Saccharomyces cerevisiae S288C: one gene and its partner. The gene in region 2 interacts genetically with the main gene of each other region. Each region holds a gene or a part of one and is shown on either strand. Other genes may lie near its edges.

The links.
Region 1: mutations in ICL2 (region 2) and SKM1 together harm fitness more than expected from each alone (negative genetic interaction), as found in Saccharomyces cerevisiae (2 studies listed by BioGRID).

What each region holds. Positions count from the first base shown.
Region 1 is NC_001147.6:102,206-106,820, reverse strand, and holds SKM1 (putative serine/threonine protein kinase SKM1), read right to left. Parts: upstream 2,496-4,615; coding exon 528-2,495; downstream 1-527. Other genes in the region: Rab GTPase-activating protein MSB4, read right to left, coding at 1-111; PTH4 (Pth4p), read left to right, coding at 2,896-3,504; non-canonical poly(A) polymerase PAP2, read right to left, coding at 3,592-4,615. UniProt on the Saccharomyces cerevisiae protein: May be involved in cellular signaling or cytoskeletal functions. May play a role in morphogenetic control.
Region 2 is NC_001148.4:566,680-570,758, forward strand, and holds ICL2 (methylisocitrate lyase ICL2), read right to left. Parts: upstream 2,318-4,079; coding exon 590-2,317; downstream 1-589. Other genes in the region: REC8 (Rec8p), read right to left, coding at 2,657-4,079. UniProt on the Saccharomyces cerevisiae protein: Catalyzes the formation of pyruvate and succinate from 2-methylisocitrate during the metabolism of endogenous propionyl-CoA. Does not act on isocitrate.

The DNA of each region.
Region 1 (4,615 bases), on a different chromosome or scaffold from region 2:
ATCAAGAACGCTATAATTGGCATCGTCTTCGTTGAATGACGAAACTGTGTCAAAAACACTTTCGTTCGGTACCAAGGCGGCTTCTGTCGACATAGTTGATGACATTATCATCCTGTCATGCCGGGTTTTGCCTTCTGTGATTGTAAAAGTGTGCGAGTCTTCCTCGATTTTGAATTACTTCGGTGCCAAATGTACAAAATACTATCCTAACTTTTCAAAAATAGTTTATTCTTATAAAATCATCCGTAAAATGATTAACTGTCCCCGCTAAAAGCGTTTGTAAGCTCAGTTCATAGATATGTCTTCCATCCGTAAATCCGCCTAACGAATAGCAACACATTCTTTTTCCTTTTACATTTTCTATTGACATAACGCGAAGCAAACGTATCATTGTTGTTTTTTTTCTATAAATAATCAAAAAGAGTAATTGTTTTAGATGAAATAAAAATGCGATTAAAATATGAATCATACATACGTATATACATATATATATATATTGTTTCTCCTAAATAAAAAAAAGCTAAATTTCAATGCCACTTTAAGGATACTTTGAGCTGCTCAGGGCTGCATGCCATTGACAAAAATTCAAACGTTAGTAGTTTTCTCACGGATGCTCTTGATTCGACATTCACTTGCAAACAGGCATCTAAGAATTGTTTGGTTTGCTTGGACACTGACTCTGGATGACGCAATTTTGGTGAACCGTTGTTAGCTATCAGATACAGCGCCTTCAAAGGATCCTCATTTAGGTAAGGCGGTTCACCTTCTATCATCTCAATAAGCATTATCCCTAGAGACCAAACGTCGACTTTTTCATCATATCCCTTTTGATTCACTATTTCAGGTGCCATCCAATATGGAGTACCTACCATTGTGGCACGCTTGCTTCTTTTTTCTGTTAATTCCACACAAAAACCGAAGTCTGTAATTTTCACTAACCCTTGGGAATTCAGAAGGATATTATCAGATTTGATATCTCGATGGATAATTTTCTTGTTATGCAAAAACTTCAAACCTTGGCACGTCTCTTTTACTATATATGCCATTTGGTTTTCGTTTAACGGCGATGAGTGCTCACCGGTATTGCTCCTTGCTACAGCATCCAATATATCTGTTAAGCAGCCACCTTCCATGTACTCCATTATCACCCATAACTCTTCGTCATCAATAATATAGGCTTCAAGGAAATTAACGATATTTTCTTGGCGCGAATCATTCATCACTAGGAGTTCATTCATAATCAATTGTTTCTTTGGTTGTTCAGATAAACGTATCTGCTTAATGGCCACTCTTTCGCCTACGACTCGGTGGCAATGTGATTTCAAGAATCTCGGGTCATTTTCTTGAGGTAATTTTATTCGCTTTGACAGGTATACTGCACCACTTGCTCCTTGACCAGCCTTTTCTACCAGTTGGAAATACGGTCTTGGGTTTACATCAATTGCAACAGTTTTCATCTTCATTATTATTTCATTCGAATCATCATTATTCTTAAGTTCAAGGAGATCCTCCTTATGCCATTTAGTTTTACTATCATGATTTTTTGTAGCAGGTGCAGATGGTGCTAGTCGATGAGGTCTAAATGTTGAATTATTATCATGCCTTCGCAGATGGCTTTGAATGACTTTCTGTTCCTTCTTTCCTAACTGCTTTGTCTGGGAATCTGCCGTGCTTTCTTTACTAACATGCACCCTGCCTTCTTCGCGTACTTTATTGTCCTCTATGTTGGTAAACTTATAATCATCATCACTAGGCCTTGGGAATGGTTTAAGTTCTGATTGATAGACGGGTAAAATGGAATCTGTTTTGCCTTTTCGGAGCGTCCTACTTACTGATCTCTTGATGGAATTAGTCCTCTTGTTTATAATATACCTTGTCGGACTTTTTAAAGGTTTCAAGTCTAAGCTTGTGTTGAGGTGATCATTGAATTGCATTGTGTCCAGTCCATTGTAATCTTCATAAAATTGCAGTGCTTTAATAACAGCTTTTGAGTTTCTGTTCCAATCGTCGTACGTAATTTCTGAGGTTTGTAGTAGTTTAGCCCAACTATCAGGTACTCCAACAAAGTTTCCCACTTTTGGGTCGAACCCAACGTGTACTTTGTGTGTAAAATTTGTTGGTGATGAAACACCACTAAGGAGAGGACATTTGGCAAAAATGGCATCAAGCCAGCCATGCAAATCCCGTTCGGTTCTTGTGGAAATGAATATCGATCTTTTGGAATTTGATTCATAAAAGTAGGAGTTTATGGGGGATATGTTCTCTTTTTGATCTGTTGCCCGAAGAATCTCAAAACAATTTTGTTTCAATTGTATTCTGCTAACATTTGTTATACTAGTCAAAGGCACAGATAAGACTGGTTCCTCATTGCACTTATCACTTTTGTAAAATGCTAAATACGAATCATTCAGTACCAAGTATCTCTTTTGCCATAAGAACGAAAACAATCCATCAACTTTATAAGATATCCATCCTTCCTTTTTTACGCCCTTCATCGAAAGATATTCTTTCGTTTTGTCTGATTGTCCTCGAGTATAGCTCTACAAAAATTGTACTTATCGTCTGATCCATTGAGAAAACCAGGTGTAGGTCTTCATAAAGCGAATATTTATTCACTTACCACTGGGGACCTCCCCACAGAACTTGATTAGATGAATCTGCGTCCTGTTCCTTCATTCTTTTTTTAGTTTACAACAAACCATAACACCCGTGATGACAACAACAGGAATTATCGCAAATCAATCTTTTACCAGATCTGGAAGCGGATAGTCAACATTTCGTGTCTTCCAAGGGGCTGACGAAATCAAGCGTATACGGTAAAAAAAAACAACAGAATCCTTAACATTACTGTTTGCCTTTCAGTAAATTGAAGGGAAACACGCCAAGAAATATCATATGACAACATTGATGGGAAAGTTTAAACTTACTGGGCGCTCCCCTCTGTTTGTACTTCAACCAATGTTGCACTGCAAGAAACAACAGTTCGTTGAAGAGGCAGTCAGATTGATTAGTAATAAAAAGATCGGAAAGAAATCTGACTTCGTCCAGGCAAGAAACTGGGTAGGAGCACTTAACGTAACGGGCTTGCCCTTAAATCAATTTATTTTACGTTACGATAGAGCCAGCGGGCCAGGAGGCCAAAACGTTAATAAGGTAAATAGTAAATGTACTTTGACACTTTCTGGTTTATCAAACTGTGCTTGGATTCCTCAGGAAGTGAGAAACATCTTAAGTAGCGGCAGGTTTCGATACTACGCTAAGGGCAGCGATTCTATAGTAATTCAATCTGATGAAACTAGGTCAAGGGAAACCAACAAATTAAAATGCTTCGAGAAGTTGGTTCAAGAAATTCGGCAAACGTGCCAATTTCCTAATGATACCACTGCTGAGACCTCAAAGAAATGGAATAAAATAAAAGAGAAAGCCAACAAAGAGCGACTTCTTGACAAAAAAGTTCACAGCGATAAAAAGAAAAACAGAAGTAAAATTAAATTCAATTATTAATACATAATACGCATATTTAAACACACATTCTATCCAGGTACACAGTGATGTACAGTTCAGTGCATCATTTAAACAAAAAGGCACATATTAAAGGGTATAAGGATTATATCCATCTTCATCATCATCTTCGCTAGAGACAGTGATATATGTCTCTCCACTATTTCTCTTGGCCGGTTCACTTTCAGGTTTTTCTTCTATTTTAGCCTTCTTAGCAGGTGGGTTCGTTATTTCATAATCATCATCTGTTGTGGTAGCGGTGGCTGTGGAGGTAACTGTATCTTCGGCAAAATCTTCATCATGAATTATTCTGCTACGTTTCTTGTGATAGTTTTCATTTTCAATAATAGCCTTATTCAGTACTAGACCTCTTTCATCCTTGAAATCTCTTGCCTTTCCACGATATTTGATCACGTTTCCCAATATACTTTTCCCCAATCGATCCTTAAAAGTTGCTGAATGTAATTCAAAACATCTATTCGTCAACAGATCAAAAGCACCAGCAAATGCCTTTTTAATATCTCGAATGTTAAAGGACCCTCGACTGATGTTATTTGATTCATCACCTGGATCTTGAATGGCCAATGAAAATGGATTTTTAATAGGCTGAATAGCACTCCATGTCGATTTTGGAAAGTATACTGGATATCCATCCGATGATCCCAGTGCAACATCATCATAACCAAAATTTTTCCCATAAAGTTCAAAAAACTCTATCAGGAGCACACCCAAGTTGTCCTTTGGATCTATTTCGTTAGTTATTATACGTGGGTGCATATGCAAAAAGGAAAAGACAAGACATATAATACTAAACCCACCAAGACCACCGGTATGCACATTATTTAGTCTTCTTGCGTGTAGGAATTGTTTTACGATAAGGACTAATTCTCTCAGGCCGGGGGTATCGTCCAACCACTCTCTAATAAGCTTTGCTGCTTCAATACCATTTGTTCTCTCAAATGAAACATCTATGTGGATCCCTGAATGTGGCTCAACAAACTTGATGATTGGAACGCGAGCTTTGGCGACAACTTCAACCTCTGTTGCCAAATTTTTTTTTTTTAAATGGCTTGCTAACGAATACAAGTTATTCCTACTTTCCTTACCACCAAGT
Region 2 (4,079 bases):
TTTGTTTCTGTATTTCTCTTTTCTTGAGTTATATAAACGGAATGATTAGTAGTTTGGCAGAATTTATAGCAAGTATTAAATAGTTGAATACCTCAATATTCTCCATAATAAACGCCATATCGTACATAAAGGCTAAAACAAGAATGCCTGATACCGTTCTGCTTTTTGTTTTATCTTTCCCTATATTTTCTTTCCCTTTTGATGCTTTACGTAATTTTTCCCGGCATATGTGAGCTTCCTAATAGACTCTATTTTTATTTTTCCCTTTCAAAGTGCGAGAGAAATACACACAACCAGCCTACGCTTATTTTCACCCATACCGTCATACGCCATATGATATATAATGTGAAACAAACGCGGGGAAGAGCGCGACACGACAGCTTAGCAGGGGCATTCCACGCAACACCTGAAACTTTAAGTAAAACTGTTTCTGCGAGGATATCTTGGCAAAACAAACACTAACTTTCGAACTAAATATAGTGATCGTGGTCATAAATTAATAAAAAGAGGATAAATAGAGATAAAAGAGATATGTGACTAAGTTGCTGGCAATATGTATTATTTATACTTTTATCTTCTTGAAGCGTATTCAAAATTGCGTTTCGGTAAAGCTCTCACCAGATGTACTTAAAGTTTGGGATGAAGCACCGTTTTGGACAACTTTCATTAAGGAATCAACATATTCTGCACCAGACCATAGCTGGTGTGTCATGATATCACAATTAGTCTCCTTTTCCCGTTTTTGCACTTTTTCGACGTATGCTTTCATTCCGTCACTTTGGAAGCTATTGGCTAATTCCCAGAATGATACTCCATCTGAATGCAGACCGGCAAGGGAAACCAGTTGCAACGTGAAGCCTTCTTTTGCCAAGTCCCATACGAAGGATTTTAATGCCTTATCATCAAAGCCGTGAGCGCTCCAATTGAAACTAGGAGATAAGTTATATACTAGCTTGGTAGCTGGAAGTTGTTTATGAATTTTTCTTGAAAATGAGCGTGCCTGCTCCAGGTCAGGAGTTTTCGTTTCCAGCCAAATCATATCAGAATATGGGGCAAACACCAAAGATCTTCTAATAGCTGCTTCAATACAACCGTTAAACATGTAATATCCCTCTTTGGTCCTCGGAGCATCCCAGTCAAATATAATTTTCTTTAGTGGTGTCACTTCTTGAGCTAAAAGTTTCATTTCTCTTAAGCTTAGGTATGCTCTACCCAGCTTGTTTACCATAAGGTCTTCCTTCTTTTCTTTATAGCTTTCAAACTCGCTTGCCGTAAACTGCTTTTCTAAGGCCTCTTCAAATGTAAACAGCTCATTTTCATGGTACCATTCTTTTTCCATGTCAGCAATGGCGGAGTTGGGAATTTTTTTGTCCTCCATCTCAATCAATTTTTCGCTCCAAGGCACCACGTTATCTCTTATTATACCCCTAATGAATTCGTGGTCTCTCGGATCACTGCTTGAACTCAACAGCTTACCATTACAGGAATCTGTTCTTGCAATAACCAAATTTTCTGTCCCCATGATATCCCATTGAAACCTGGTGGAAATCAATCTCATAAGATGTGTTGCTGTGGGCACCAAAACAGCCCCACTTAGATGGCCACACCTTTTGCCTCCCACCATCTGATCTTCAAGATGAATACCAGCAGCCCCTTTCTCCGCAAACAACTTAGCAACTTTCATTACAGTCGTTGGGCCACCGTGACCCATGTCTGCGTCCGCGATAATTGGTTTTAAATAATCAACAGGAGTAGAACCTTTGATGGAGGCCTCCAAGAAAGCCTTTCGATCGTGCAATTGCTGCGCCTTGAATATTCTCTCCACTTGATTCGGCACAGTATCGTATGGATAATCGCCAAAATCCGGCGATACTTCATTTGTAGATCCAACTAATGTGGAAGAACAAGCCCAACCAGATATGTAAGCAACTTTGATATTTCTGCAACGGGCCAACTGACTCATTTGTACAGGATCGATAACTCCCAACGTGTGAAGTGGAGTACCATTCTTGAAATTCTCTTCTAGTAAGTTGAACAGCTTTCGAGCTTGATAAGATGAAGGATAAATTGAAGTATTAGCAGGAAGGCTGCCCCGATGCTTTACAACATCCGTAGCTGAGTATGGACGACTGATATTCTTAAATCTGGCTGATTCCCACCATTCTTCTACTTTACTTGATTCCGAGAACACGAAGTCTTTAGTACTGCTTGCCCCGTTGAAAGATCTTCGCAGTGACTTGTCTGATGACAAAACCAGCTTCTTCAGTGTTCCCGTAGTTTTTCTATTGAAAGTTTTGTTGTTAATCATTGTAATCATCGGCGAAATACTAGAAAAGTCGAAATCGATATTATTATCGGCGCTGTAGCTTCTTTAGGCCACTAGTACTTTTATAAGCTCTTCAACCGCAACAAAAGTTAAGAAATAAGAGAGTTATTCTTAAGCCCATTTTTTACATTATATAGTGTACGTATGATATCGCTAGCATGATGTTAGTGTTTCGGCGCTTCTAATTGAAGAGCATATCCTTTTCTTCTCCAATGCACTTTTATTTCTTTCCCCGCAAGCATATTCGGCCCGGATCTCGGACTTGGATCATTAACCTGAGGACAGCGGCTAGTAACCGCTGTCGCTCATATGGAAGGAGAAAATAAAAATTCAGGCATATACAATTATTTCGTCCTCTCTTCTCAGTTTAAGATCTTTAGTTACCGCATCTGCAACAGGATATTCGTTCAACTTGACCATCCCTTTCGTAGCCAAATTCAGTAAGGATAGGAAGGCACTGGCGGCTATCTGTCTGCTGACACCTCTTTCTACATCATCAAAGTTAGCTCCCGTTTGAGCTTCGCCCATGCGGCTTGGGATGATGTCAACCAACAGCATCTTTCTCTTGAAAGGCGGATTGGAGCGCGTTGTTCTTCCGACAACAATTGATCTTTCTTTGATGTAATCGTAGAATTTTTTAGTTTGATAATCCAGAATGACGTCTTGAAAATTTGTTTTGTCCTGCTGCAAATTTTGCTGAGAGCCATCAGAAAAACAACTGTTGCTGGAATCGTCTTCCTCGGCAAAATTCTGTTCAGATGGCCCGACTCTCCTTCTGAGAGCACCAACTATATCTTCATTGAAACCACTAGACCTGGTTGAGTTTCTGGTATGACTTCTTCCAAAACTTGAAGGAGGTAGATTCAAATTAAAATCTAGGATGTTACCTTGAGAGTTTTCTTCAATATAGTGCCCATCTTCCAAATCCTCATTAATTTGTTCAAGGTTTAAAAGTAAATTATCATTTTCCATATCGGAAGAATAATTATCGTTCTTATTATTGCGAAAACTTTTCCTACCATATTCGTGACTTCTGGTACTACTTGAGCTTTGGGTTGATACTAAAGAATGTGCTCTTTTTCTCCCTCTTTCAACTGAACTAAAACCTTGGGGATATAAGTCCCATTCGCTAGTCTTTATATTGGAAAAGTCGTTAAATATACTTAACCAATTTGTTGAAAAAAATTCTTCCTCACCACATGACCTTACCAAACTACTTATGTTAGAGGTGAGAAAATTTTGGCCGGTTAGTTTTCTAATCCTGTTTTTTTCCATTAAGTGACTGTAATTTCCATGGTTGAATTTGAGAACTTCATTTGGATAACTCGTTTTGGCATCAAATTGTACCTTAGAAAATTGCCCACCTACATCGGCGCGATGTCCTCTTTGCATTCTGGTGTTAAGTTTCTGTTGAAGATCGTTTTCTTCTTCAGAAGCCTGCGCTTCTAACCCCAATTCGTAGTCTTTGAGATTGGCTACCGGCCCTTCATTTTCAACTGATGTATCTTCTCCTCCATTACTGTTATTTTCATTATCGTTCTCAAAATTCAACACCAATTCATCTCCTTGATAATTAAACTTGAAATCGTTTCCATCCTTCTGTGAACTTGAGTGAGAGCCTAAAGGTGTCCCCTGATGGCTCACTATATCATCTAAGTCCAGGTTAAAGTCCACATCAACGGGAATTTCATCCAGCGGAAAAGAATTTCTAACGTTAGATCCTAGATTACTTTGCGCGTCTGAGTTAGTCATG